Linked DNA regions of Notamacropus eugenii. The main gene of each other region encodes a partner of the protein of the gene in region 2 in a complex. Links are inferred from orthologs where the notes say so. Each region holds a gene or a part of one and is shown on either strand. Other genes may lie near its edges. The genes, in order: NRIP1, PPARG and NFKBIB.

Region 1 (10,501 bases), on a different chromosome or scaffold from region 2:
TGGTGTTATCCTGACTGTGGCTCCACTCTGCTTGTTATTTCTTTCTGACTGTTTGCAATATTTTCTGCTTGTCCTGGGAGTTTTTTGATTTTGGGATCTCCTTCAAGAGGTGATCAGTGGAGTTTTTCCATTCCTATTTTACCCCTTGGTTCTAGAAGATTAAGGCAGTTTTCCTTGACAATTTCTTGAAACATCATGTCTAGGCTCTTTTGACATGGCTTTCAGGTAGTCCAATAATATTTTATCTCTCCTGGATCTATTTCCCAAGTCTGTTTTTTTTTTCCAGTGAGATATTTCACATTGTGCTCTATTTTTTCACTCTTGATTTTGTTTTATTGCTTTTTGATTTCTACTGAAGTCATTAACTTCCATTTGCTCCATTCTAATTTTTAAGGTATTATTTTCTTCCGCGAGCTTTGTACCATTTGGCCAGTTCTGCTTTTAAAGGCACTATCCTCATTGGCTTTTTGAACCTCTTGTCATTTGGGTCTAGTTTTTTAATGTTATTTTCTTTAGGTTTTGTGTGTGTGTGTGTGTGTATGTGTGTGACTCCTTTACCAATCTGTTGACTCACTTTTTCATAATTTTCTTGTGTCATATTCATTTGTCATCCCAATTTTTCCTTCTCCCTCTCTTTGTTGATTTTCAGAATCCTTTTGGAGCTTTTCCATGGCCTGAGACCAATTCGTATTTTTTTTGGAGGCTTTGGAAGTAGGAACTTTGACCTTGTTGTCTTCTGAGTGTGTGTTTTGATCTTCTTGTCACCTAAGTAACTTTCTATGGTCAGAATTTTTTTCTGTTGCTTGCTCATATTCCCACTCTATTACTTGACTCTTAGTCTGTATTAAAATAGGGCTCTTCTTCCAGGGTAGAGGGTGCACTGTCCAGAAGTAGTTGCTGCTTCTGCTGATTTCAGTGGCTTCAGAAGCCTGCTCCTGCTTTGCTTTGTGTTGGCACAGCCTATGCTGGGACTAGTCTTCACTCCAACCCAGGTGTTGGCAGACCTTTCCTGCCAGCCTAAGTTGTTGGGCTGGAAAATTATTTCATTCTGTGTTTTTTTGAGTGATGGTGCTACAGAATTTGTTTAGAGTCATTATTTAAATATATTTTTAGGAGTTTGGGGGAGAGCCCTGGTGAGTCCCTGCCTTTGCTCTGCCATCAGGGCTCTGCCTAAACTCTGTAGCTTTTGACACTATTGATCACTCTCTTCCTCTTGATAACTTTCTTCTCTTTGGTTTTTATAACTCTTAAATTTCTCTATCTTTGAACAGTCTTCCAGGTCATTTTTTTCTATCAGCTATCTTACTGATAATATTTTTTCAGTCTTTTGACTTTTATTTTCAGATTTCTTGCTGTCTCGTGGAATCATTGAGTTTCGTTTGGTCTATTCTAGTTTTCTGTTCTATTTGGGTAAGGTTTACTTCTTTCTGTTCTAAGCTAAGTTCTTTTTCTACCTGTAATTTTTTCTTCTAGACTTTTAATTTCATTTTTCATCTCTTGCTTTATTTCTCTATATTCATGTGGTGCTTGAGAAAATCCATTTTTTCTTTGATTCTCTTCTGGTTGTAGTTGATATAGCATTGCTTATTCCTTCTTTTTGTGCCATCTTTACATTTTCCAGAACTTTTTATACTGTGAATGGTTTTTCATTGATTTAATCATCTATTTTAGTATATAGGATATTTTGTATTGAATATACAATCTCTCCCTTAACCTGTTATTTGACTTGTATGTGAAATATTAGATTCATTATGAGATGACCTCCTAAGTGAAAGTTATAGGAGGATGGTAATATTGTTGCTTTGATAAATATAATTCTTTCTTCTTATTAAATGTACTCAGTTTTGTTTAAATACATTTATAGCTTAATTTCTTTGGAATTTAATTATGACTTAAATTTCTTAAATTCTAGGCAAGATGCTTTGTTGTATGTGTACTTTCAGAAATGTAAGACAGCAACCTCTAGTGACTTATTTAGCAACCTGCATCAAAAATGGATACTTGTAACTTTATGTTCTCTGGGAATAACATTTTTAAAGTTTTATTCCCCCCCCCCCATTATATGTAAAAACAATTTTATCACTTTAAAAAAAAGTTTTGAGTTCCAAATTCTATCCCTGCTTTCCTCCCTTCTCCCTCCCTGAGACACTACACAGTTTGATATAGTATCCAATCATGTAGCACATTTCCACATTAGTCACCTTGTGCAAGAAGACTCAAACCAAAGAAAGAAAGAAAAGAAAATGAAAAACACTATATTTCAGTTTGTATTCAGACAGCATCACTTCTTTTTCTGGAGTCAGCATTTTTCTTCATGAATCTAATGGGATTGTTTTAGATCATTGTGTTTCTGAGAAGAGCCAAGTCATTCACAGTTACTTTATCATATAATATTGCTTACTGTGTACAGTGGTCTCCTGGTTCTGCTCATTTCACTTTAAATCAGTTTATGTAAGTCTTTCTAGGTTTTTTGAGAATATCCTGTTTGTCATTTCTTATAGCACAATTGTATTTCATCACAATCATATACCACAACTTGTTTAGCTATTCCCCAGTTGATGAGTATCCCCTCAACTTCCACTTCTTTGCCACCACAGAGAGCTGTTATAAATATTTTGTATATATAGGTCCTTTTTTTAAAAATCTCTTTGGAATACAGACCTAGTAGTGGTATTGCTGAGTCAGAGGGTATACATGGTTTTATATGTACTTTGGGCCTATATTTTTTGGGAACCTATGTAGTAGTTCTCCAGAATGGTTCACAACTCCACCAATGGAGCATTAGTGTCTCAGTTTCCCACATCCCCTCCACCATTAGTCTTTTTCCTTTTCTGTCATTAGCCAGTCTGATAAATGTGAGGTTATATCTCAGAACTGTTTTAATTTGCATTTTCTTAGTAATAATTTAGAACATTTCTGATGTCTGTAGATGGCTTTGATTTCTGTCTAAAAACTGCCTGTTTATTCATTTATCAATTGAGAAGTGATTTGTATTCTTACAAATTTGACTCTGTTCACTATGTATTTGAAAAATGAGGCTTTTATTAGACCTATTTACTACAAAAATTTCCCCCAGTTTTCTCCTTTTTAATTTTGCTTGCATTTGTTTTGTTTGTGCAAAAACTTTCTAATTTTATATAATCAGAATGATCTCTTTTACACTTTGTAATGTTCTCAATAGCTTATTTGGCCCTAAATTTTTTCCTTACCCATATATCTCAGGTAAATTCTTCATGTTCTCCTAATTTGCTTATGGTATATTGCCCTTTATGTGTAAATGATGTACTCATTTTAATCTTATTTTGACATACAGTTTGTGATATATTGGTCTATATCTAGTTTCTGTTATACTGTTTTCCCAACAGTTTTTCTCACATCATAAGTTTTTGTTCCCAAAGCTTAGATCTTTGGGTTTATCAAATACTAGATTACTGTGGTCATTACTGTGGTCAGTCAGAATCAAATACTAGATAACTGGTCAGTACTACTGTGTAGTGTGCTCCTAATCTTTTCCACTGATCTTCCACTCTTTCTTAGCCAATACTAGATTGTTTTGATATTTACAACTTTATAATACAGTTTGAGATCTGGTGTGACTAGGACACTTTTCCTCACATTTGTTTTCATTAATTCCCTTGATGTCATTTACTTTTTTGTTCCAGATGTTATTTTTTTTCTAGCTCTATAAAAGTTTTATTTTTTTTGGTGGTTTGATTGGTATGCACTAAGTAGATTAATTTAGTTATATTACCTCAGCCTGCCCATGAGCAATTATTAGTTTTCTAGTTTTTTGGATCTGATTTTATTTGTGTGAAGAATATTTTGTAATTGTGTTCATATAATTCTTGGGTTTGTCTTGACAGTTAGACTCTCAAGTATTTTATATTGTCTTTAGTTATTTTTGAATGAAATTTCTCCATTTCTTCAGTTTAATACATATTTACATAGAAGAAAAAAGTTTGCACCGTCTCCGCCAAGAGATGAGTTGACATAAATTTTCCATTCTTCGTTAATTATGCAAGGGAAGCTAGGTGGTGCAGTGGATATAGCACTAGCCCTTGTCAGGAGAAAGAGGGTTCAAATTCTTCCTTAGACACTAGCTGTGTGACCTTGGTCAAGTCACTTGATTTTATTTGCCTTGCTTTCCTCATTTGTAAAATGAGTTGGAGAAGGAAATGGCAAACCACTTAATATCTTTGCTAAGAACATCGCAGATGGGGTCAAGAGGGAGGGATAGGATTGAACAACAACCACAATAGATCTGTTCAGCATTTCAAGTGCCTGTGTTTTGCATTGGTGCAATAGATTATTCATAGTAAACTTGTTCTAAGCAAATTACTTTGATTGTTATTTAGTTTTTATAACTGAATCAGAAACTTTTAGAAATGTATCCTGCACTCTGGATAACGATAATTTCTAGTATTAAAGGTATGTATCATCTTTATCTTTTACTTTTCTTTACTCCATGACTTTGAAGTCACTAATTTTGCTCTGGAAAAATTTCAATGTAATTTAATTAAAGTACTGTTTTTCTTCTAGCACAGTCAGGAAAGCGGTTTGTTAGAAAGATTTGTTATGCTGTTTGTGGAAAGTGAACATAAGGTTAAATTTACTGCCTAAAGTGATCTGGTAATACTTTTATGTAGCTGCTGAAGAAATGGAGAAATTTCATTCAAAAATAACTAAAGTGTGAGAATAAATAAGTCAAATTTTTTTTTTTAACGCAAGTTATTTATTTTAGTTTTGTTCATTGGAGAAATTTTCTCAGTTTATCCCGTAGCTAACACCATTGTTGTCAAACTTAAATAGAAACGGAACTTTACAGGCTTAGAAAACCATGAATGAACTTTATCTATGTTGTTTTATATTTTTATTTTGCAAAGTATTTCCTAATTATATTTTTTCTGGTACCTGCAGCACTTACTGACTTGGAGTTTGACCCCTCTGGCTAATAACCTTCTCGACCTACCCCTTCCCTACCCATTCTTCACACTCCCACCATTCACTTCCTAAATTTTATAAAGACTATTCTGGCTTTAATTATGACTTTAGTGACAGATGATATTCTTAGTTGCCAAGAGGGCAGTAAGGAGTTGCAGACTTGTTTCTGGCATGAGTTTTCCTGATGTTGAGCTATAATGCTAAGCCACTTGGCGCAGGACCTAGGAAAGAAGAAACCTGAATCCTCTCTCACCTGCTTAGTTGGGAGCTCTTCCCTCCTTCTGGAAGATTATCCTTCGTGAAAAATATTGGCATGGATAAGAGTTAATTCTTAGACACAATTTTCTATGTACGGAATTAAAATAAAAATTATTAAGCAGTACTATTATTTCCCCTTCTGTGGCAGTTTTATGTATTTGTCTTTAACTTAGGGTAGTGTTTCCATGGAGTTCTAAAACACTGCTTTAATTTTCTCAAGGAATTTCAGAGAGATTATATGCCACCTTACATGTTGGTTTTGAACAAGTTGGACACTGATAAAATGAAATGGGAATAAACAGTAGGAACTGAAGAGCTACCTACTATAGAACCATGGCAGGCCTAAGAGTTTAGATTACATATAGAATTAGTCCAAAATCATGGGGTATTCCTTCTTTGAAAGCTTTTTTTCCTAGATGTGTGGAAGGGGGTGGCCAGTGCTGCTAGATGTGCCTTATTACTCTAGTATTGGCCAAGTCTAGGTGGGGTAGCAACTGTGAAATGATGAGTGTATGTGATTGTATTTAAACCTTGTCTTTTTCTGAAGCTCCCAAGGTTAACTACTAGGGGCGAGGAGTATTTTGTGTGTGTTGGAGTGGAGAGGAGCGGATCGTAAATCCTTATGCATCTTTTTTATTGACATACTTTGGAGGGAAGAGGGAATTCTCTTATCAGAACATGCAGAAGTTTGTTTAGCTTTCTGTTATAAGGACTCTTCTCCTTTAAACAAAATAAAGACAGTAGTAAAATAAAATTGGAGTACAGAATAGAAACTGAAGAGCTACTCTTTGGGGATATCAGTTTGGGGATTTCATATTGTATAAGCTTATGGTCTTAAGTAGGGGGAAAAACAGGTTATAGAACACAAGGTGGAGAAAATGTATACAAAACAAGACAGCAAGAGTGTTCTATAATTAAGTTTATTATTAAGTCATTCTGATGATTTCCCTTTTACACTTAAAAAACCCTCACAATTTCCTGGCTGTTTCTTGCACAGATTTCTCCCTTTCTACAGAAAAGTATCAATTTTTGAAGAATGGATACTTGATTTAGAACATTTTATACTCATCTAAAACAACAGTTTCCATTGGGTATGGTCAAAAGTCATCATCTGGGAAAGACTAGACTAGCTATAAAAGTACTCCACTCCTTGAATGAAGTACTTTCTTTTTTCCCTCCTTATTTTGTAAGAGGTGGTCTAATCCCTTATAAGACTTCTATTGAAGTCACAGAATGGTGTCATGCAAAGGGTAAGACTACAGTGTAGACAGATGTGTTTGAATCCCTGTTCAGACAGATGATAGGTATACCTTTCAGATCTGTAAAACTGTAATAATGTGAAAAAGTGCCTTGCAAATTTTCAAGATCTATATAAATATCAGTTATTTTTCAGAATTATTAAATGCTTTAAAGGGTTCCTTTAAAGTAATGAGCATTGTAAAATAACTCCAGTCCTCCTTAAATTTTTTTTCAGGAACTATTGGAATTGGAAAGATTGACCCACAGATGTATTTACCTGTTGCCTGTAACTCTAATTGATACATGGTTTTCAGCATCCATTCTTTCAGATACTGGGAGAAAATCAAAAGGTATGGCATTTTATTTATATAGGTTATTAAGTCCTTAGTAGGAGAGTAATTACGTTACTGTATGACTTATTTGGCCATCAGCTTCTAGGTATTGTTAAATTTGCTATCTATCAGTAGAAAAAGAATGTTTATTATTTTATGTGATGAACACTGAAGTCTACTTTCTTTGATTTTATGTAAGTAAAAGGCATGTGGTAAGAAAAGCTGTTTCATTTTGAGTACGCAGAGTCTTGCCCATATTAGTGCTTAGGCTCATTAAAACTTTTTTTGTAGCATAAAAGCTTTTAGAAAGTTTCTTTCATTTATGGATAATAAAACATAAATATATTTTCAAGTAGATTTACAGTCTTTTCTCACTTGCCTAAGTATTGGTTTACCAAACTGTGCTTGTGAAACCTTTCATTTTAAATAGAATTTTGAGGGAACTCTTGCATTAAACAAGCTTACAAAGTGATTTTAAAAAATATTTACTAGCAATGACCCTAGAGAATATGAAGCTGTTTTTTTTTTTTAAGTTTTATCATTCCTTTGCCCTGAACACAAAAAGAAAAAGTTACTTAAGAGTGAAGTGTACTTAAATCACTTCCAAATCCACATTTTCTTTTGCTTTTTAATTTTTCTTGATAGCTTTTGTTTTTAAATGATCTTCATTTCTGAACATATTCCATGTTCCTCTCCTACCCAAAGACCATTCTTGGTAACAAAGAATAAAAAGAGTGGAGGTGGGGGAGTATTTTAATGAAACTAACCACCATCCAGAGCCTGACCTGTTTGATGTTACTCATCCTTCCAAGTGTCCCTCGTTTGCAAAGTAGGGAAACAGATGCATTTTTAAAATTTCTTTTTCATAGCTGAAGTTGGTTAATATAATTTAAAAGTATTTTGTTATTACAGGTATATTGTATTTTGTTTAACTTGCTCTGCTTACTTCATTCTGCAACAGCTCATATGAGACTTCTAATGCTTCTCTGAATTGTTCTTATGCATCATTTTATGGCATCTTAATATTTCATTAAATTCATGTGCCATAATTTGTTTAACCATTCTGCATCCTTTGATCTTTGTTTATAGTTTTTCCACTAACATAAAAAGTGCTGCTATGTAACACTGTAATGTATATGGGACATTTCTTTCTGTCTGTGACATCCTTGGGATGTATGCCTATCGGTAGGCTCTGTGGGTCAGAATGATGGACATTGTAGTCACTTTTTAAAGAGCGTAATGCCACATTACCTCACGTAGAATGGTTAACCTGTTAATATCTCCACCAACAATATATTTTAGCAAGTGTGTCTTCAAATTCATCTTTTCCTTTCAAACCTATGACTAGAAAAGATGGGCTCTCTGAGAATCATAATTGTTTTTCTCCCCAACAAGATTCTTTTTATTATTGTTATTATTTTATTGCAACTAGATTCTTGCATGGGACCAAAGGGAGATTGACAGCAAATTAAATGGTAGGTGAGATTATCAAAGAGAATGCCCTATCCAGTATCTTTATCAATTATTATTCTTGGATAATCAGTTATAAAATATTTTGTAAAGCAGTTGTGGAGACAATTCTGTTTCCTAGAAGGAAATAGGGAACAATTGAAGTTTATTTAGCAAGGGATCTTAGAGGCCATCTATCCAGCTTAAGCCTCTTATTTTATAGATGAGAAAACTGAGACCAGGTGAGGCTAAATGAATTGCCATACAGATAGTAAATGTCAGACTGGTTATGAATTACTGACTCTAAAGCCTTACTCTTTTTACTGTACCATGCTATGCTTTAGTTATAGCACTTTGGTTGCTAAGTCTAAAACAGATTAAAGAGGAGAGAGACTTTAGGCAGGGAGACCAATTAGAAGGCAAAAGTTCTGTAGGAAAGTGATGAAACTTTGAACTATGGGATGATCATGTAAGTAGAAAGGGATAGATAAGAGAGCACAGATTATGTAAGCATCAGCCTGCAGTGTAAGAGGCAGTCATTTTCTCAGACTGCTGGAGGGGGGCAACTTTAGGGACTAGAGAAGAGAACAGCGGTGTGAAACCCACTTTGTGGGGAATGTGAAATAACAGCCAACAGAATAATTAGAAGGAGAGTGAAAGGGCTGCCTAACTGAGCTTAGATAGCACACACTGGAGCAGACTTGCAGCAAAGTTTGGCATCTAGGAAATAGGAACAGAGGAGGCAAAATAGTAAGAGTTACCTAAAGTTGAGAGTTAGGACGGGACAGTAGGAGGTCAGAGGCATCAAGGTGAAGAAGAGGGCTTTATTAAAATAGCTGACCGTGTGGTCAAGACTGTGTAAGGAAGGAAACTAAAGCTAGAACCTGGCTGATAACACTGGAGAACTAGGAATATAAACACTGAAACTTGTGGTGATGGCATTAAACTGGTACAGGAGGGTAGGGGGTAAGGAAATAGGAATAAATAGGACAGGACAGTGGGCTTCACAGGGGAGTTTAGCCATCTTCTTTCTATGCTAACGCTTATCCTTCTCACATACCCCGAAACCTCTTGCTCTTGAAATAGCAATCAAATCAACAATACCATCCTTGTGACTTAGACCATAACACTTCTCCCTGGCTTCTGTCTTGTCAGACTTCTCAGAATGTGACTTCGTTATGGGCACGAGGCCCTTCGGCTTTTTGTATTTGTATCCCAAGTGCTTAGCATAGTTCCTAGTACATTATTAGTGCCCACTAAATGCTGTCTTGCTTATTCATTCATATTTTGCCTGGAGAAGGGAAGGATTTAGACTCTGTGATAGCTGTCTTCAAGTATTTGAGGAGCTTTTATGCCTGTGAGTGCTTACAATTATTCTGCATAACCCTAGGAGACAAAATCAGTAGTTGACAGAAGCCAATTTAGTTTCAGTGTAGGGAGACAGTTCCTAACAATTAAGAGTCCCTTGAAGTGAAATGCCTCAGAATATAGTACCCGTAACTTGAAGTCTTCAAACAGAAGCCAGAGATGAAATAGATAAAGTGAACCAATCTGGGAAATAGTGCCAGATTGGGAGCTTGAAGACAAGATCAGAGGGTGGAGCTCTGAGGCATCAGCAGTTGCATCCATTGTAGAAGTGGACGGTGGACACAAGGCAGATCTGAGGCTGGCTTGAACTCTCGTTAATCAATAAAAAATGGTACTTTCCATCTTATTTTAAAATAAAAATTTGTGTCAATTAAAAAGCTTTTATTTTCTTTCCACTCTTCATTAAAAAAGAAAAAGTAAAACCCTTATAAGAAATATACATAGTAAAATCAAAAGACATTCCCTTCTTGGCCTTGAAAAAATTTATATATCATTCTGTATGTTGAATCTGTCACCTCTCTGTCAGGAGGTGTGGGTAGCATTCTTCAGCATCCACAGTTTGTTTTTATAATGTTATAATTTGTTCTGCTGATTCTACTCACTTTGCATCATTTCATAGAACTCTTCAAAGTTTCTTTGAAACTATTCCTTTCATTATTTCTTCCATTACATTCATATATTGTGATTTGTTTAGCCATTCTTCAATTGATAGGCACCCCTCTTAATTTCTAGGACCTTGCCACTACCAAAAAAGAATGGCTGTAGATATTTTTGTACATATGCATCCTTTACCTGTTTCTTTGATCTCTTTGGGGTATAGGTGTAGTTATAGTACAAAGATTTTTGTAAATTTTTTGGCATAGTTAAAAATTTTTATCCAGAATGACTGGACTAATTCGCAGTACCAGCAGCAC
Region 2 (10,539 bases):
CTCTTGCCACTAATACTCACACATCTTATTTCCTGATGAGACCTAAGGATTCAGTCTATCCAATTTACTACATATAGATTGTTAACACAGCTCCCAAAAGGTCAAAGCCAGAACTGTACTTCCAAATTCAGGTGAACTATAATGAGGGAATCTTTCTTTCCTAGTCTCTAACTATATAAACACAGCTGAAGAAAATAATGGATGAAGAGATGGCTAAAAATACTTTAAGGATGCAGATTTCAAGAAAAGAATACAGGCCTCGATATGTAAAACACTTAAGAACATCATAACTTTTTGTTTCATAAAGATTTCTCTGTTACTAATGCAATGTATTGTTTATAGCCTAAATGTAACAGAATTATAATAATACATAATTATACAGAAGTACCTCTAATTCATCTCTAATTAATTAACAAATTGGCTGGCTGAGAAGAGAGTTTGCAAACAGACTTCTCAGGAGGACGAGGAACAAGGAATATGTTCACAATTCACACAGCTTATTGGCAAAGAGAGCCAGCATCATAATGTATTTCTGATTCATACCTCTAAATCAAACTCTTTTTTTCCTCCAGTATAAATTTAAAATGTCCTGAGGACTTTGAAAGTAACACTGTAATTCTTCTACAAGTAATTTATCACTCTTTTAAAATAAATAATACTGAAATATGTAAGGCAGCAGAGACCTAATTTCTGAAGAACAGGAAACTAGCTCTTTTCAAAGAAAATGCTACATTTATCATTTAAAACTGCAATTCCAAAAATTGTTTTCCAAGTAGCTAAGTTGTGAAGATCTATTAAAAGAGGTGACCCTGGTCCACGTTTTAGTTTTAATGAAGTTATGGATTGGTCCGGGGGTTTTTGGGCTTTTAAAGAATCCAAACCCACTCTCCCCATCCCAACATGGGCAGGCAGGAATCTGACTTAAGCAATTTTAGAGAAATGCTTTTTTTTTCCTTTTCTTAAAGGGGGTCATTTTGTCTCTGAAACTATAATTTCTACTTTGAGCAGCTTCCTGTTTTATTGATGCCAATGTTAGTTTCAATAATGCTGGTTTTACTGTGCTTGTGGTTAAAAACTAGAAAACAAAGGGCTGAAGAGGAATATTTGATAAAAATCTGGTATCAGAGCAACAGAAGTAGGGTTTTTCCTATATCATGTAGCAAAGAAAAGAAAAAGCCATGCTGGTCCCCAGCTGAGTCTTAAAATTTAATATACCCATCTAGTTTTAAAGGTATCGTCAGCATACTGAATATCATATGTCATATGATTTAAATAAAGGAGGAAGAAAATCATTTGTGTAAAGTATATGTTATGACAAAAGAAAAATGTGTAGTTCTATTTTTGCATTTTCCTTTTGACTGATATATTCTCGATTGAATTTAATAAACACTTATTAAGCACCTACTGTTGACTAAGCTCTGGGAAAAGAAAGATGGCAGGGTATGTTGCCCTCAAAGAGTTTATAATATAGTGAAAGAGGCTGGGCCACCATAAGATATACAAATAACCACGATTTAAGTGAGAAAATGAGTATAATTGCCACCACAGAATTCCTGACTCTCAGGTTGGATGGGACATCAGAGGCCATCTAACCCTACCTGTATCCCCTCTACAACAGGACAAGCATCCACCTTTGCCTGAAGACCTTTGGGGGAAGGGGACATAATCCATTCTACCCAAACTGTCAGGAACTTTTGTTCTTACATCAAATCTCAAACTCCAATTCTCCAAAAACTTTTCTTAATTACCCTTTCAGTTCCAATTCTATGATTTAGTAATTACAAATATTTAATTTCTCATGTAAAATTGTCCATGACTGCATAATACTTAAAGCTGAAGTTATTCACAAAAATGGAAAACTAAGACATTTTATTGTAACAATTAGAAAAATCCTGAAATTTGTCTATTACTATTTACTCGAAAATGTATAATCGATGTACAATCACAAAAAGGCTATCAGGGCTTATTTTTTGGGGGGGAGGCTTATGATGATCAATGATACCTGTCCATCATTTTATTACAGTATTTAATTTCCTAAGTAATTTCCCCCGAAATTTTTATGGAACATCCATGTCCAATTCCTAAAGAGAACAAGAAGGGGGAGTTAGCTCTACGTTACTACATAGCAATGATGAGTTTCCTATGCACAAGAGGAGGGTTACAGGGCACCTGAAGTCCACTGTGGTTAGGCACTTAGTTTGACAGGGTCCGTTTTATGAATAAGTAATTCATTGATCTCTCCATAGAGAGAAACTTTCTTTTCACAACTTGAAAAAAAATAAAACAAAAACCAAAACCACACCTTTGAAGTGAAAAGTAGCATGGCTGATAAAATGATACATTTTAATTAAAATATGTCCAAAGTCCATTTCCCCGTCCAAATATTTTCAACAGCTAATTCAAGCAAATTACCAGAAGAAATTACACCTATGCATTTTGGCCTTAAGCTCATTAGGCAAAGTTACTTTAAAAGCCCTTAATGCTTTTAGGTCAGAATGATAAATATTCCAAGTCCCCAATAGTATTACAGGTCAGTTATTACCAGAATATCACTACTGGCTTTCACTCGGACTTTATGGGCTAGTGGTCTCACAAGGATCCCTCCAGGGCTTCAGCCGGCTCCGCTGTCAGTCACCACTGCAAATGCCAAACGTTCCGCAAACTTTCTCACCAAAGCACTTCAAGAAAATGTCGCTGATGCGAGCTGACTCACCCAAGTTGTAGAAGTCAGCGGCGATGAAGGTGCCGACGGAGCCCTCCTACCCCTTCGGATCAAAGTGGAGCAGCTGCTCCTCCTCTTCACCTGACCCCATATAAAAGCCGTGGATCGGTGACTCCCAGTTTCCGGCGCTCTTTCCCTGGCCCCTCCCCAAAAGCCCAGGCACAAAGTACCACCTTTCTCTTCACCCTCACACCCTCCTTCCACCCCCAACCCCAAGGAACCTGTCATCTCTGTTTACCTGACCCACCTCGTTTCCCCCGCAAGAGTTCAGAGGAGCATAGCCTGCTGCTGTCCTGCGCCGTGCCCACATGGCATCGAGGGACTCAGCTTGGCAGCACGGGGCACACTGGGGAACTCCTAGTACCAGCGCGCTCATCCTGCTGCTCGGAAGCAGGCTGGCATCCCTGGGCCCCTCCTGCCCCGTGCATGCTCCCAGAACTTCGGGAGGGCTGGGGGCTGTCATCACCTGTTACTTCCCTGCACTACAACCCCAGGGCAGACCTGGCGGACAGAAGGACAGTCAGACAGAGAGACAGATGCTCTGTTCCCTTGCCTAGGTCGGCAAGGCCGGGGGGGAGCCACTTGCATGGCGTCCGCCCTTCACACAGGGCACACAGTCTCCCAGGAAACTTCCCTCCCTATTCTCGGGGGACAGTGACCCCCTTCCCAACCCTCCGTATTCCAGGGCACTCGGACTCAGCTCCCTCTGACCCCAGGTCGCTTAAGTTCTACGACTCCTTTCCGGGGCCACTTAGCCCTGGAGCCAAGCCTCGGTGCCCTCTCTCTTCCGTGACATAAGACCCCAGAGTCTCTTGTCCCGGGGCAGGGAACACGCACCCTGCGCGGCTTCCTTTCGGCTCAGAGCCCCCTCGGCCCGGGCCACAGGAGCTGCGAGTCTCCTTTAGTGACTCGGGCACACACAGACCCGCGTGCCCTTAAACTCGGGCCACTGGGCACGCCTGTGAATCTTTATCCCAAGACATCTAGGTCCGCGACCCTCGTAGTCCGGGACACGGCGGCCGAGGAGGGAGCCCTGATCCCGGGACACCCGGCGACACGAGTGCTCCCGGCTACGGGACCCCAGACGCGTGGGGGCTCTTGGCCCCAGGCACCCAGCCCCGGGCTGTTTTGGACAGCCCTCTCCCCGGTCCCCGCGGCCGCGGCCCAGCCCAGCGGGGGCGCTCTGACCTGCGGCCGGTGGCGTCCCTGGCTCCCGGTGTCCGCCCCAGCTGAGCCGAGCCAGACCGGGCAGCTCCGGTGACGGTGACGGCGGCTGCGGCTCCGGAGTGTCAGCGCGCTCTTCCTGCGCGATCGCCAAGTGCGGCCGGGGCCGGGGCCGGGGCGGGGGGCGGAGGCTGGGGGCAGGGTCCTGGACTGGGAGGGGGCAAGGAGAGAGGAGGAGGGGAGGAGGAGGAGGAGGAGGAGGAGGAGGTGGGAGGAGGAGGAGGAGGAGGGGGAGGAGGAGGAGGAGGAGGAGGAGGAGGAGGAGGAGGAGAGGAGGAGGAGGAGGAGGAGGAGGAGGAGGAGGAGGAGGAGGAGGAGGAGGAGGAGGAGGAGGAGGAGGAGGAGGAGGAGGAGGAGGAGGAGGAGGAGGAGGAAGGGGGCGGGAGCGGGGGCGGCGCGCAGGGACCTGCGCTCCCCGCGCGCTCGCTGCTGGCTGGCTGGCTCGCTGGCTCCAGGACGGAGCCGCTTCCGAACCAGCACCAGCCCGCGGCCGGCCCCCCGCAGCGCTCGGGTCGGCTCGGCCCTCCGAGCGGGGGACAGCGCTGCCTCCCCGGAGTGAGCCCACCCCGCCCGCTACGGGGAAGTAACTTTGGGGTCGGGATGGCAGAGGCGGGCAAGAACGCGGCTCTCCTCTGGAAGCCTGGAGGTCAGCCGGGACAGCCTGCGAGGGTCCGGAGAGTGGAGAGCAGAGCAGGGCGCAGTTGGAGAGCCGAGGCAGGGACTTGGCATCTGGAAGAGAAAAGCGGGGCCGAAGCACTTCGACCACTTAAGCCTTAAACTGAGTCATTTCTGTTATCCTGAGCGAGAATGGAAGCGCCTTGGGGACAGAGTTGGGCTGGAAGCAACCTGGGCACAGAGAGACCAGAAGCTGTTTGAGGGGGCACCTCGACGAGAGCTGTGGTGGCCAAACTTCTTGCTTCCAGCACTGTAATTTTCTTTGTATCGAGACCCTTGGAGGGGAAAGTTGGGAGACTTCCGAAAGCCCACGTGCAGTCATGCAAATGCAGAGGTTTGCTAGGGTTTGTTGCATACAATTTAAGGAAGTCTAGAGCTTGTGGATGCAATTGTAAATTCCAAAAGATTCCCAGCTCCCTGAGCTGAATTCCTTCAGGGCATACTATTTTGGAACTGCGGGACTGGCAGCAACTTGGCCACTTTGCCTCAACTTACTCAGCGCACGTTTAGATGGAAAGTTTCTTGAGGCCAGCAAAGCAGTCATAGGCCCGAAACTCCTAGGGGACAAACTTAAACCAGAGACCGACGTAGAATTCCACCGGCCCTTTCTCAAGGCCAGACAGAATGGAAACTGTTTGAGGACAGACTTAGCCCGGAAACTCCTCACTGAGGGATGGAAAGTGCCTCATGGAGGGCAACAGCCTTAGTCTGCAAAGATTTTCTAGGCCAGAAAGGGTTTTCCAGCATTTGCCCTAGAAAAAGCACCTGGAACGCTAGGGACTGGGTTGGAAGCCCAGCTAAGTCACTTGACCCTTGTAAGACCTTCGTGAGTCATTTCCCCTTATTCCCTCAGTTTCCCTCAGCATTACACTTTCCTAACTGTAAAGTGGGTTGGACTGGGCCTGGCCATCTCCAAGGTTTCTTTCCCTCTCTAAAGCCTTCCACAATGGATTTTGAAGGTGGGTTAGCCCGGTAGTGAAATAAAGGGGCAAGTGACTAGGCTTAGACAATCATTCTTTGAAGTAGGGAGGGCCCCAGCTCCACCTCTGAGACCCCAAACGACCCTCTTCTTCCTTTGCTGCAGTAATCCAATTCATTTACAGGTCATGGCATCACCTCCCTGATATGGGCCCAGAACAAAGGGCAGACAGCCCCAAATGCAACTTTTACTAGTCAAAAGATTATCTACTTTGTCACCGAGAGGGATGTATCAGTCTTCTAAGTCCTCTCTCCCATCCCATCCCACCCAATCCAAGCACTGCTAGTAAACATATATAGGAACAAAAGACAGAAAATGAGATCCATTAAGTGAGATGCTCACAACTTCCTAGCATCACAGTATTGTGGAAAGAGCTCTGCTCTGGAGACAAAGGTCCTAGATTCAAATTCTACCTCATGCTTGTTATGATCTTAACATACAGGTTAAGTCACTCAACATCCTGGAGCCTCAGTTTCCTCATCTGTAAAATGGGGGAGGGAGGCTTGGACTTGAGAGTTTCTGAGGTCCTTTCCAGTTCTAAATCAGTGATCCTTATTTCTCTCCATTCCTACTAAATATTGTTTCATATGAGCTGTAGATGATCTTCTATAAAAATATCCTCTCTATCACATATTCTGAAAGGCAGTATGGACAGATGAAAAGAACACCAGATTTGTAGTCAGAAATCCTGGGCTCAGTCCTGGTTCTGGCATGTATCAGACATATGACCCCTGGTGGTCTCCCCAGTATCAGTGTCACTTCATTGTCCTGGGGCCTCTCTCCACCTCCCTCAATTCCCCATCTCCCCACCAACTGGAAGTATATTTAAAGCTGCTGAGACCAAGCAAAGTTTGTGGTACTCATCTCAAACATGGAATCTTCTAGTTTATGACCCTGTAGGAACAATTTTTTCCCCTTCATTTCAAAAAGCATATTCCAAGTATATGAAGAATAACCAGTTCTCCAGTTCTACCACAAGGGACCTAACTGAAAAGCCTTCTGATGACCAAAAGGTATAAAACTTCTTTTCATCAATGCTAATGAAGAACACACCTTGCTGCTAACCAGGAGTGTACCTTATTTCAGTTTTTTGGGCAATCTTTTTTTTCTCCTGAATCAAAATCTCAAATGAGAAAATTGATATTAGTGATCCAACCCCAAATGAACCAAGTTCTAATTACAGAATGCTCATAACTAAAGTCACTCAGGAGTGTAAAGTAGACTCAACATTTTCCCCGCTCAAAAATATTCTTCTAGTATGTGTGGGCTACTTACTGCCTTCCTCTTACAACAATGAAGCAGAATGGTATCAGTTCATTGGATCATGGATTGAGAGCTAGAAGGGACCCTAGAAGTCGTCTAGTCTAATGGCTTCATTTTATACATATACATGTTGAAGTCCAGTTAAGTGACTAGCTCAAGGTTACCCAAACAGTGAGTGGCAGAGTCAGGATTCCAGCTCTGGTCCTGATTACTTGAGATGAGCTGTTGGGTTTTATGGTTGTTTGCTTTCCCCCATCTTCTAAACTCCTCCTCTCCTGTCTGCCTCCCTCTCGCCTTCCTTCTTCTCTTCAGAGGAAGGTAAATTTGGATGGTCAAAAGGTGTCCAGTTGTCTTGGGTTTTACTGGCTTCTTTCCTGTCTGTCCTGTCCTCTCCTAAAACCTTAAACCTACTGCACTCTGAAACTGGGACTCCAATGGACCCCTGCCTAAGGTCTCCTCTGGATCCTCCTAGCTTTAGATTATCAATAGTAACTGTTGCTGTTTCCCACCCAGCCTGAAGTCTTTCTTTTTCTTTATCTGATTAAAGGGGCCATGCCCTGGCTATTTCTTAAACAGGCCTATTCAATGAATGGGTGTTGCCTCACCCTAGGTGAGTACCTGCAAAGACCTTGACCTAAAGGGCCCAAGGTCTCCCAGTGCACCCTGGGTCATCTCCAATCATCCTAAGGAATATCAGATCACTGGATTCGGATGGCCCTGGAGGAGAAGTGAGGCTGGTGACCTTGCACAGCCCTCCCTCACTCAAGCCAAAGTCAAGCGCAAGTCATGTCATCATTTCTCTGATGGCATGGTCTTCTTCGGCAGTGAAGGATGAACACAATGCCATGTGACTAATGGACTAACACCTCCTTCTCCACACTGCTATTCCCACTGGTTCTTTGAGTTGGATACAAGATGTCCCAATAGTATTGGACTAAGCCTAAACAACACTAAGACTTTTGGAGCATCTTGTATTTTAGGCTGTAGTTCTTTTGAATCCAAATCAAAAACAAACACACACATTTCAAATAAACATATGCAGTTCAAATATGTGTGTGTGTGTGTGTGTGTGTGTGTGTGTGACACACGTTCATAGACATAATGACTTGTCTGGAGTCATATAGCTAGTAAGATTTAAACTCAGGAAGATGAGTCTTCCTGTTTGCAAGGCCAGTGCTCTATCCACTGTGCCATCTAGATGCATATGGATGTATGTCTATATGTGTGCATATATACATACCTATAGACAGAGTTCATATATATGTATATATATATATATATACATATATATACACATAATTCATATATATGCTTTCCTTCTCACTAAGGAAATTTCTTCCCTTCTGTTTATAATTGTGCAATAAAAATACGTGCCACATGGGGAGGAAATGGAGGTCTAGTAATGTGGATTGACCGTAATTGAATTGATTTCCATAGTATTCTGAACATACTCAAATTGGCTCCCCTGGGAAAAGACTCCAGACATTTTAATATACCAATGATTTTTTAAAAAATGCTGTGTTTAAAAAAATTCAGTAGAATCTTTCTTCAAATAAGGTGACTCAGTTCAGGGTCCAAAAAAAGAGTACATTAACCATTTAACACTTATCCTAGTATTTTGTTACTTTGCTCTAGAAGGATAAAGAAAATGAATGTTCTAATCAGTCTTCTCACTTATGGTAACTATAGATTCCTGTACAGATGTGCTTAATCTTTCTCTTTCTCTTTGTATTTTTATAGTTTTATGGATTCAGTTTTCTTGTACACTCCATTCATTTCCCCATATTCTCAACCCCCACTCTCATGCCCATTTGAATCTTCTTTTATAACAAGGAAAGATGCTTGAGGGAAAGCAACCAATACATATAGTGACTATACCTGTCAGCTCATGAAACTTTCTATACCTGTTGCCTCTTACCTCTCTACTGCAATTGGTAATTTTGGTAATTTTAGTAATCACATTTTGATAATTCTCATAATATTTCAAGCTTTTTCATTATTATTATTATGTCTGGCAGGGTGATCTGTGAGCAGTGATCTTTTATGTTACTATTAAAATTGTTTTGGGGTGCCACAAACCAGGCCCACATAAGACAATGAACTCGACTGATACATGTTTGTGTGTTCTGACTGCTCAGTTAACTGGTCTTCTCTTGCCTCTCTCCCTCTCCTCAGACTTCCCTATTCCCTGAGACACAACAGTATTGAAATTAGGCCAATTATCCTTAGAATGGCCTTTAAGGGTTCAGGTGAAAGGAAGCCTCAATAGATAGGGCAAACTTCATTGTTTTCTTATTTTAAGAAATTACCATAGCCTCCCCAACCTTCAGCAACCACCACCTTGATCAGTCCCATTAACATTGAATGAAGATCCTATACCACAAAAGGATTATGACTTTGATGACAGCTCAGGTGGTTAGAATTTTTTTTAACAATAAAAAATTTTAAAAGTAAGATATGTATATACATATATATATATTTAGACATAATACTATTCCACAATTAATAGACTATAGTATAAACACAACTTTTACATGCACTAGGAAACCAAAATATGTGACTTATTTTATTGTTTTATTAAAGCAGTTTAGAATCAAACTGTCTCCAAAGTATGCCTATATTAAAAATGATGACACTTAATTGCTCACTCATTCATGAACTTCCCTCAGATGTGAGGCCTTCTTACCCTGGTACAATTTACTATTCCAGTGGCCTGCTTGCTCTGGTAAACCCTTCTATAAGGCCTGCTATCCTTTTGCCATTGGTCAGTTCCTCTTGGAGCCTCTGTTTTGTGGAGAGGCCTGTCTTCCAAGCCATGCCCCTACAGTGGTGTTTTTCAATTGCTTCCTTCCTCCCTTCCTTCCTTCCTTCCTTCCTTCTTGTTTGTCAGGTCCTTTTACCTGTTTCTCTCTACAATACCCACAGCCAGGGCTGACTCACTTCTCTTTGAGTCACCCTCAGAAGTCACCCTCCTTAAAGCTATCTTCTATCTAGGAACTCTGGATTGGTAGGGAATATCTAACTTTTACATAGGCTAACACTTGGAATTTCAATAGTTTTGTTCATACCTCTGCTAAAAGGGTGACAAACCATAAATTCTTCTTTGTATATCATTTAATATCATCACACCTTGAAGTCTCTGTTACCTGTCCTTTATCAACTGTGATTTTATCAACTGGGCTGGGGGCAGAAGGAAGGAAATCAGTTGATCACAAATGTCTTCCACTACACTCCACATTTCCTTGCTGTTTTGGAAGTAATCTATAAATTGACATAAAGGGTAAAATGATATAATTTAATATTTCTTTAACATTTTTTCTTTGACATTGAAGGAGGTGGTGCCTTGCTCACTCATTTTTAGTATACTTTTCACAATTTTGAAATATGTTTCTAATATAATATTAAAAATAATGATAAAATATTTTTTTTTCTAGTTAATGCCTTTCTTCTTTATTTTCCCACAAAGGGAAAATACTCTAGGTGGTTCTAGAAGAAAGCATTCCTCCCTTTTAGTGATGACCACCTCCCCAGGGATCCATACAGTTCTCTGGACTTATGGTATCTGCATGGGTGAGCCATGAATTATACACGTTTGATAGACAGTCTGTTATTCTGCCCTACAGCTACACAGTCCACATGACTCACAGTACAAGCAAAATGAAAGGTCTGGGTTTTT
Region 3 (9,656 bases), on a different chromosome or scaffold from region 2:
CCCATACTTGCTAACGAGGGAGGCAAAGGGCTGCACTTGCAGGGAGGTGCCCATGATGATAAGCAGATCCACCTTCTGGAAATCCTGGAGGACACAGGAGGGACAAGCCATTTCCCCTGCCCCTGCACCCCCTCACCCAGAGCTCAGTCTGGAAGACCCCGGGAAGATCTGGGCCAGAACACCACGTCCTCTGCTCTTGCTTCGGACTGGCTTTCAAGGCTTCTCGGCCGGCCCTTCCTCTGCCTCCTCCAGCCCTTTTCCTCCCAGCACCCTGGGTCCCAGTCCCTATCACTCTGGCCCTGAGGGACCTTCCAAGAACCACCACCAGGGGGAGCCCTACACTCAACTCTGGGAAACCAAATTAGGAGTCAGCCCTCTGACATCTAAGGGAAGTGAACGAAATTCTTTGTTCGGGAAGTGGGCTCCGGGAGCTCTAGGTCCTGGGTAGATGTCAGGGAGCAGAGCAGATGGATCACCTACCGATTGCATGCAGGAGAAGAAGCGCGCTGGGAGGGTCTCGCCAAAGAAGACAATGTCTGGGGAGAGAGAGAGACGAAGGAGAGACAGATGGAGGAGAGACAGATGGAGGAGAGACAGATGGAGGAGAGACAGACGGAGGAGAGACAGACGGAGGAGAGAGAGAGATGGAGGAGAGACCGAGAGACAGAAACGGAGGAGAGACAGACAGAGGAGAGACAGACGGAGGAGAGACAGAGATGGAGAGACAGAGACAGAGGAGAGACAGATGGAGGAGAGACAGAGATGGAGAGACAGAGACAGAGGAGAGACAGATGGAGGAGAGACAGACAGAGGAGAGACAGATGGAAGAGAGAGAGATGGAGGAGAGACAGAGACAGAGAGAGACAGATGGAGGAGAGACAGACAGAGGAGAGAGAGATGGAGGACAGACAGATGGAGGAGAGACAGAGATGGAAAGACAGAGACAGAAGGACAAGGAGAGGAAGATGGGAGAGAGGGGAGGTACAGACAGAGAGACAAAGACAGAAAGAGAAAGAACCTAAGATTAGGGAGACAGGGGAGGGGGTTGGTCCCCAGGTGCCAGAAGGAGAGCAAGGGGATGACAGCCAGGGGCTCCTGAGCCCTGACCAGTCAAGAGCTCTCGAACTTGATCTAGGGAGGGAAGGGATATTTTTGCTGTTTCCCGTGACTGTTGACCTCCTTCAAGGCCCCCTCTTCCCTTTCCCATGGTTCACCTGGTTTCACGAGACTCTGGCATTTGTCACACTTGGGGGTCACCTCTGAGAAGATCTTATCTGGGGGAGAAAACATGAGGTAAGGAATGATGGGATTGGAGGCCAGGGGAGGAGAGTAGCATTCCCTTCCTCAGGGCCCCTCCCCCTGCCCTCAGGGACCCAAGCCTCACCTTTCATCCAGCCCAGGTCATACTCTTTGTGGCAGTGGGAGCTGATACAGTGAGAGGTATAGAATGTTCCATGGGCTTCAACCAGGTCCTCTGGTTCCAGCCCAGCCACCCGCTCCAGTGTGTCGATGTTCTGGGGGAGAGGGAAGAGGAAGCAGTCAGTTAGAGCGTCTCCTCCTTATCCCCCTACTAGACTTGAAACTCCCTGAGGGGAGGGGCTCTGAAATTGGAACTGTGCATTTGCCCAGGTGTGTAACCCAGCTTTCCGCCACAGCGTCTGAAAATTATTTATTGAAATTAAACTAAATCGAAAGTTCACATCAGAATGGATGGAAAGAAAATCTGACTAGGGTAAGAAAGAATTGGCTAGTCATCAATTTAACGTTCGAACACAGAGATATCATAGAACATGTTTGTTCTTTCCAAAAATAAAACTCAAAAGTATTTATAAAGGACAAATGAAGTCAAATGATGCACTGTGGTTATTTTGGGGAAGAATTATATTTTTGGTGCCACTGCCCATCTGGGGGGCTGCCCACTGGGTCTGGCAAGGCAGACTTGCCTCTGTAGGACACAGCCTGTAGAGTGTGGGCATTTCATCCTCCCCCCTTCCCTGGCTGCCCTCACCTGGGTATAGCAGCGAAGCAGTAGGCCCTTCTCCTTGAGCAGGCGCATGAAGTAATGACACACGGTGGGCTACAGAGGGGTGGAGGGGAGTGAGGGCCAAGGGGTACACACACATTGTCTTTGATGTGGTTAGACAACTGGGACTTTCCCAGTTTCTTCTCCCACCCATTGTGGGGAGCAGCCCACCCCCCCCAAGCCCAGATGGGGAAGCCCTGACTCTGTCCCCCAATTGTGTACCTTTCCTTTCCTTTTCCTCTGATTAAGCTCACCTTAAATTGCCCTGGGTACAGCTCCCGGGCCAGAGCAAAGAAGGGCTCAGGGTGTTTCTGGGGAAAACAGACAAAGACAGATGAAGATACGTGAACCCTTCACTCCTTACAATCCCCTACCCAGGATCAGCAGCCCAGATTTGGGGGGCCCACTAGTGATATTTGATAAGATGAAGGATTTAGCTGCAGGATCTGCCCTGCTAGTGTTTGAAAGCATGAAGGCTCAGGAAAGGGAAGGGTTCTCCCTCCAAGGAGTCTGTGAAAACTTGAAAAGTGGGGTGTTCTTAATGACAGTTTTACCTTAAAGTAGCTGATCTCAAAGATGGCTTCAGGGTAGGGAAGGTTGTACTTCTCCAAGTTGGCATAGAGGCCGGTGGACGGGGAGCGGAAGTCAGGGATGCCAGCAGCTGGGGACAAGGGTAATAGAAGAGGCATCCCTGGGGGAGGCCACCTCACTGGTGAGAGGGGCCTTATCCCAACCCCTAGGTTAGCTCCTTTGGGGATCTGGCCCCCCTTCTCCATTCTGGGGGGAGTTTGGAACCTGAGGGCACAGGGAAGCAGCTACTTACATGTAGAGATCCCTGCCCCTACCATGCAGATGATATTCTGACCTGGAAGAGAAAAAAGGTGAGGGGAGAGACCTCAAGACCAGAGCAGTTTGGGGTTGTTTCTCTAGTCTCATTCCCTGGAAGGACAACTTCCCTACCCGGACTGCTTTGGCCCTGTGGAATCCTAAGGTGAGTCCCACCCTTTAGTCCTGAGTTCTCACCTGGTCTGGATGTGTCTCACTGGGTTTCCTGAGGAATGGGTAAGGGGAGGGAGAGAAGTGGTCCCAACCCGGGACATGGGAGCTGAGGTTGGGTGGATGGGGTAAGGCACATCCTGTAGACAACCTGAGCTAAGAAAAGGAGATGGGGAGAAGCAAGAACTCACATTGGTCACTCTGGATGAACTTGGTCACCCCTTCCAAGGAAAGTTCATCCAACAACTTTTCTCGCTTCCCGCTGCCCAGGCCCAGGGTTCGGGAGAAGAGATTCCGTAAAAAGTCCACTGTGGGGCAGACCAGAGGATGATGTTATGCAGGAAGAGGGCAGGCACTGGTCCCAACTAGGCTTCAGCCAGTCTTGTCCCCCCCCCCAGTTCACCACCCAGGACAACTTACTCTCTGTCTCTCCAGATGCAGCTCCACTCTCAGTTTCTGAATCTGAGTCCTGGGAGAAAACGGCCAGAGAGGGAGGAGGGTCAAGGGGGGCTCCAGAGGGTTGGCGCTTGGGGAGGACGATCACGGGAGGAGGGTTGGGAAAGGGGAGTCAGTGGAAAGAGGGTCAGAGGGAAGGTGGGTCATTAGAAAGGAGAGCCAGAGAGGGAAGCGGAGGGGCACAGTTTGGGGAAAGGAGGTCAAAGGAGGGAAGGGTAGGTGGGGAAGGAGGGGGTTAGGGTCCTCGGAATGGGGGATGGGCGGGCGGATCTGCTGTTTCAGGGCTGGGGGCGGGGTGAATAAGCCCTGTGGATCTGGGACACGGGGCGACCCACTCCCTGGGGGAAAGCCGGGGAGAGCCATGAGTGATGGGAGCAGGCGGGGGAGGCGCGGATCCTCTCACGGGCCAATCATAGACGTCCTCTCCCTCCCCTAGCGGCCAATCACAGACCTCGTCCCCTCCCCGGCCAGCCAATCACGAACGTCCAAGGGCGCCCCCTCTCACCTGAGCATCCTGCACCTTCCCTGCCTCGTCCTGAGGGGGACCGGGGGCTAGGGAAGGGGGGTAGGGAGACAGGGTTACATTGGAGGGGGGGTGGGAGGCCGTTAGCGTGGGGGCGGCGGCGGGAGCGAGAAGCGGGGAGGGGGACCCCAACTGGCCACGGGCAGGGGTGCAGAGGGGCCCTTAGCAACCAGGTACCAGGCTTCCCAGAGGTCACGGTCCTTGGTAACCAGATCCACTCCACCACATACCCCGCAGCAGCCGCGGCACCTGTTTCCTTCCACCCTAAAACGAGGCCCTTAGGTACTGGACACCCCAGGAATTAGGACCCCCCATCTTGGCTCCCAACCAGCCTTAGCCGGCGCTGCGGAGACTGGGGCCCCCAGGGCCCAACCCATTCTCCTCCCCGCAACCCTAGATCGGGGCCCCACGCGGTGGTTTCCGGGTGGCGAGTCCCCATAGCCGTTCGCCCAGAGGGCCTGGTCCTAGGCCCGGCCCAAGAGCCCACCCGTGCCCCGACTCACGGTCCGCCTCGGCCATGGGCCCGGCCCCGGGGATGGGTTCAGCAGCGTGGGGGGCGGGCAGGGGCCCTCGGGGCTGTCACCGACTGCTCCGTCCCGTGACGGCGCAGGACACGGGCGGGGGCGGGGGCAGGCAGGGCGGGCTATGGACTACAATTCCCAGAAGAGCATGTGGCCATCGCGGGAATCCCACAATGCCCCGCGCCGTCTTTCCGCCGTGTTGAAGGCCGGCGTGACCCACCGCTCACAGAGAAACCACGATTCCCAGTGTGCCTGGCGCCGGAAGCCGTCCGGGTAAAGCGGGACTGAGGGCGGATACACGAGCCGAGCCGACCAAATGCGTCTATTGCCTCTATTGGACAACTTGGTGCGAGGGGCGGAGCCCTGCCGGAAAGGTTGCGCGATCTTATTGGCAGTCATCTCTAAAAAGGGCGGTGCGACCCTCCCTGATTGGTCGAAGCGCTGAGCGAGTTGGGGAGCAGGGGGAATTCCCCGGGTCCGCGGAATCCCCGGGCCGGCGGCTGTGGCGACCAAGACTCTGGATGGACCGGGGGGGCCCGGGACGGGAGGGCTCTGCGTAGGCCATGGCGGCCCCGGCGGGGCCCGTGAAGTCCGGGGACAGCGGGCTCGCGGAGGAGTGGTGCGACAGCGGGCTCGGGTCTCTAGGGCCCGATGGGCTCGGGCCCCCGGCGGACGGGCCGCGGGACAGGACGGAGGAGGACGAGGACGAAGAGCCAGCTAGCTGGGCGCCCGAGGTGTTCGGCTACGTGACGGACGACGGGGACACGTAAGGGGCCGGCCCGCTGCCCCTGCCCCTGCCCCCAAGGCTCTCCCCTTCCCAGGGTCGTGGAAAGGTGGAGGGGGGATCCCCGCCCCTTACCGGAGGGGAAACCGAGGGAGGGAGGGGAGGTGTGAAGGCAGGGCTAGGAGGCCCCGGGGGTCCTCAGGCCATCACCTGGGACAGGGGACGTTGAGTTATGGCTTGGATTAGTTTTCCTGCTCCTACATTCTGTCCCTCTCCAAACCTCCTGGCCTCTGACCCCTGACCCCGCCTGACCCCCTTCTTTTCCCTTTGAACGGTGACTCTTTTAGGGAGCTTAATTTCCTTCTCCCCTGCTGCCCCGCAACGGGGCCTCGAAGGTGGCCCGACCCCCACCTCCCTGACCCTCTGTGTCCCCCCTGCCCAGGGCCTTGCACTTGGCAGTGATTCACCAGCACGAAGCCTTCCTGGACTTCCTGCTTCACTTCACGGCAGGTACTGAATACCTGGATCTCCAGAATGACCTGGGCCAGGTGAGGTCCTTCCCCTACCTGTGGATGGGGCCGGCAGGGCCAGGAAGAGGCCCTCCCAACCCCCCACCCCCAGGACTGACTGGCTTCTGCTTGCACTTGTGTTCCTCTGTCCACAGACGGCTCTGCACATAGCGGCCATTCTGGGGGAGGCAGCCCTCACTCAGAAGCTGCGGGCCGCAGGGGCCGGGCTCTGTGTGGCAGAGCGAGGTGGGCACACGCCCCTGCACCTGGCCTGCAGGGCTGGGGCTCATGCCTGTGCCCGGGCCCTTTTGGGGCCCCTTGAGGGCCAGACAGCCCAGGAGGAGGAGGAGGAGCAGGAGAGACGGGAGCAGCTGGAGTGCACCAACTACCAGGGTATGGCCCAGCCAATGCTTCTCCCCACTGTCATGGACGCAGCCTGATTCCTGGGGGCTGGAAGCATCTCCCAACAAGGGGGATGCAAACAGTAGCCATGGCTACGTGGACATAGGAGTGACTCTGCCTCTGGCACTGTGCCAAGGGCTTTCCCAGCATTATCTGATTTGATCTTCCCAACAACCCAGTGGAGTAGGTGTCATCACTTTCCCCTGCTTTCCCCGTTTTACAGATGAGACAAATGAGTTCAGGAACTAGCCCAGGGACAGTCCACACAGGCAAGTGAGTGTCTGAGGCTGGATTTGAACTTAGGGCCAGATCCCCACTAAATGCATATTCTCCCATTTCCTTTGAGTATGCTCATTTGCCTTAAATGCTTTCTAAATGTATTCCCTAAAGGCCTTCTAAATCTTTGTTTCTCTAAAATAACTCCACAGGCCACACTCCGCTCCATGTGGCTGTGATCCACAGGGACACAGAGATGGTTCAGCTGCTCCGGGAAGCAGGGGCAGATCTCAACAAACCAGTAAGGATACAGAACCCTGTCTGCCCTCAACTCCCAGGCCCTCCTCCCTTTTCCCATGCTGCTGTTCCCCTCCTTCCATGTATCTGTTCTGTGAGATTCTTTTCCGCACCCCCAGCTCCTTTCTCTAGATTGGGGGAGTCTAAATGAGGGAGATTACTGCTTTCCTCTGAGAGGGAGCTATAAAACAGACATCGACCCACAGTGGGCAGAGGGGCTTCTTTGAGACAAGCGGGGTCCCCTTCAGATCATACATGGTCTGAAAAACAAGGTGAGTTAGGCATGAAGATACCAGGTCCTTCAAATGGGGGACAGGCCTAACCTCTAGGAAGAGACTGTTGTCAGCAGTAGTGACTAGGGATAGATGAGGGGGTGGGGGCTGGGGCTCCAGAAAGGGGGGACATGTCCTTTACATGCACTCTCTTTCCCAATCAGGAGCCCACGTGTGGGCGGAGTCCCCTCCACCTGGCTGTGGAGGCAGAGGCAGCTGAGGTCCTGGAGCTACTCTTGGATGGCGGCGCAGACCCCAAGGCCCAAATGTATGGAGGCCGTACCCCGCTGGGTAGTGCCACGCTGAGGTCAGACCCCCTCCTCGCCCGTCTCCTGCGTGCTCATGGAGCCCCGGAACCTGAGTCTGAGGAAGAGGAAGACTCCAGCCCGAGAGGCAGCGATACTGATGAAGGTGTAAGTGACCTGGGGGAGTTCAGCCAGTGAGAAACTTGGATGAATGGGATGGAAGAAGAGAGAGCACTGGGGAAGGGTGGTCTGGTAACTGATCGTTCCAGAAGGGGAGGGTTGATGGGAGATGGGGAACTTGGGGGGAGGCCCAGGATGAAGGAGAATCAATTCCTGACTCCACTATCCTCTAGGATGAGTATGATGACATCGTGGTCCACGGAAGCTGAAGTGGAAACTGAGGCACACCTTCCTCACCTGCTGGCTATCTCTAGCCAATTTCTTTGCTTTTTTTTTTTTTTTTTTGTAGAAAAGCTTTAATTTCAATAAAACTCTCATTCCCCTGGCTGGAGTGTCCAGGGATCTGTTGGGGCCAGAGCATCTGAATTCAGAAACAGACCAATGGGAGGAAAGGCATGCTTTTATCTGTGCTTTATTTACGTTGGGGGAGAGGGGAGCAGGTGGGGCAGAAATCTCTGACCCCCCCCCCAGTCTGTTTTCTTGGTGACCCTCTCTTGCTCCCTCCCCCCACCACCTGGAGAGGGGCTGATCAAGAAGGGCAGGAACCAGTCCGTAGCCCAGTTTTCTGAGATGAGCGAGGGTGGGTGGGGCAGGTGCCTGGCATTCACATTTGCTTCTCAGCCCCTCCTGCCCAGTGCCTCGGCTGCCTTCTTCAGCTCCTCCCCCATCTGCTCCAGGCGAGCCAGTTCATGTTCCTGGGGGGGGGGGGGCGGGGAGAGGGATGTCACTTAGTGCTCTAAGGAGACCCTTCTTCATCACCCCATGCCTCTTCTGGCCTCCAGAGGCCAGGATTTCATCCATGTAGGCCATTCCCAGATTAAGGAAGTTTCTCTGCCCATGCAGGCAGGCCCCTCTGGGTCCTCCCTCTGCTACTCATACTGACTAGAGCCTATAGATCTGTGTGCACGTTGTCTCCCCATTAGGCTATGAGCTCCTGGAGGGCAGGGCCTGTCTTTTCCCTCTCTTGTACCCCCAGCACACACCCCAGTGCTTGGCCCATAGTAGGCACTGCATGTTGCCTGAGGCAGGACTTGGACAGAGCCTTCCTGATCCCCTCTGCCCTCCATCCTCCATGTGCCACCTTGGCCACCCTTGTCCCCTGTGGACCAGCAGCCTTCCTGGCTCACCTTCTCTGCCTCCATCTCCTCCTCAGATTCCTGTTCAGAACGGGGCTGGTGGTGCTGGTATCTGTTGGCTGGACTAGCCCCCTGCCACACCCTCATCCCCTTCTCCTCCTCAAACTGGGCTGTCTCCTCCTCACTGGCAGCCTCTGCCACACGTTTCTCCACACCCTGGCCCCAAGCCTCCTCTGCCTCCTCATCTTCCTCAGAGCCCTGGGACCCCTCTGGTCTCCTCAACCTCCTCCTCCTCTTGTCATCCTCTTGAACTCTGGTCTGACCCCTCACCTCCTGTTCCTTAACTTCTGACTTTTCCTTGGCCTTCACTTCCTCCTCCTCCTCCTCCCTCACCTCCTGGCCCAACCTCTTCTCCCCCTCAACCTCCCCTGGGCCCCTCTTTTTCTTCCTGAAATCCTCTTCCTCCACCTCCTGTTCCTCTCTCTCTGCCTCGCTCTCAGGACCCAGATGGTGCTTGGAGATCTCTGAATGAGAAAGTCAACAGAAGAGGATCAGGCACCGCAGCCATTCTTTCCCATCCTCCCTTCATTCCCTCCTGGGTCACCCAAGGGGACCCTTAACCAAGGGCAGAGCTGGTATCTGGCTTCCCCCACCCTCAGGGAATGAAGCCATGCCCAGGAGCCAGGTGTCCTGCCCATACCTTGATGCCTGAGCGCCTCTAGGGTCTGGAGCAGCGATGTGAGCTGTTCATCTAGGGGCAGGAAGGGTGGTGTTAGTGGGGTGAGGAACAGGAACCAAGGGGGCTCAGGAGGGTGACTGGGTGCCCATCTTCCTACCTTCTTGGAAGAGCTGTGTGCAAGGACCCTCCCAAGGGCCCTCCTGGCTTAGCTTGTCTTTGAGAGCCTCTTCAAGGCATCGAGTGACCTAGTAGGGCCAATGAGGGAATCAGAGGATGAGAACTGGGGAAATGGCATTTAGGGAAAGGGGGAACAAGAAGTGCACAACAGCATGGAGGCCAGAGGAGACACCTGGGGCCTGGGAGATGCTTGTAGACAGATGAAGTGATCTGGGAACATAGGTTGAATTTGGGATAGAAGGAGTCACAAGGGGACAGAGTCACTTGGAGAGAGATTTGGGAAATGGAATTTAAAGGTCAGGTGGGGGAGAGGGGATCAGAGGAAGGGTTGAGAAGATGGGATTTGAGACAAACAAATCA

The links.
Region 1: the proteins of PPARG (region 2) and NRIP1 are in contact, whole or in part, in a crystal structure (PDB 9CWN), measured with the Homo sapiens proteins. The link is inferred for Notamacropus eugenii from reciprocal best matches to the Homo sapiens genes PPARG and NRIP1. Residues at the interface, in NP_056953.2 of Homo sapiens: Val321, Gln322, Thr325, Lys329, Phe334, Leu339, Gln342, Val343, Leu346, Lys347, Pro495, Leu496, Glu499, Ile500, Lys502; in NP_001426204.1 of Homo sapiens: Ser130, Thr131, Leu132, Leu133, Ala134, Leu136, Leu137, Ser139.
Region 3: the proteins of PPARG (region 2) and NFKBIB are in contact, whole or in part, in a crystal structure (PDB 9CK0), measured with the Homo sapiens proteins. The link is inferred for Notamacropus eugenii from reciprocal best matches to the Homo sapiens genes PPARG and NFKBIB. Residues at the interface, in NP_056953.2 of Homo sapiens: Gln322, Thr325, Lys329, Phe334, Leu339, Gln342, Val343, Leu346, Lys347, Leu496, Glu499, Ile500; in NP_002494.2 of Homo sapiens: Asn286, Pro287, Ile288, Leu289, Ala290, Leu292, Leu293, Arg294, Ala295.

The regions. Positions count from the first base shown.
Region 1 is NC_092876.1:410,458,729-410,469,229, reverse strand, and holds the start of NRIP1 (nuclear receptor-interacting protein 1), read left to right. Parts: upstream 1-6,673; 5' UTR 6,674-6,788; intron 6,789-10,501. UniProt on the Homo sapiens protein: Modulates transcriptional activation by steroid receptors such as NR3C1, NR3C2 and ESR1. Also modulates transcriptional repression by nuclear hormone receptors.
Region 2 is NC_092874.1:432,711,001-432,721,539, forward strand, and holds the start of PPARG (peroxisome proliferator-activated receptor gamma), read right to left. Parts: upstream 4,055-10,539; 5' UTR 3,911-4,054; intron 2,835-3,910; exon of another isoform or gene 2,714-2,834; intron 2,654-2,713; exon of another isoform or gene 2,543-2,653; intron 1-2,542. UniProt on the Homo sapiens protein: Nuclear receptor that binds peroxisome proliferators such as hypolipidemic drugs and fatty acids.
Region 3 is NC_092876.1:32,022,762-32,032,417, forward strand, and holds NFKBIB (NF-kappa-B inhibitor beta), read left to right. Parts: upstream 1-4,944; 5' UTR 4,945-5,082; coding exon 5,083-5,285; intron 5,286-5,685; coding exon 5,686-5,791; intron 5,792-5,907; coding exon 5,908-6,145; intron 6,146-6,582; coding exon 6,583-6,671; intron 6,672-7,103; coding exon 7,104-7,352; intron 7,353-7,537; coding exon 7,538-7,573; 3' UTR 7,574-7,690; downstream 7,691-9,656. Other genes in the region: SIRT2 (NAD-dependent protein deacetylase sirtuin-2), read right to left, coding at 8-84, 481-536, 1,215-1,274, 1,385-1,514, 2,009-2,077, 2,278-2,334, 2,578-2,684, 2,847-2,888 and 4 more; CCER2 (coiled-coil domain-containing glutamate-rich protein 2), read right to left, coding at 7,982-8,059, 8,492-8,964, 9,141-9,191, 9,277-9,364. UniProt on the Homo sapiens protein: Inhibits NF-kappa-B by complexing with and trapping it in the cytoplasm.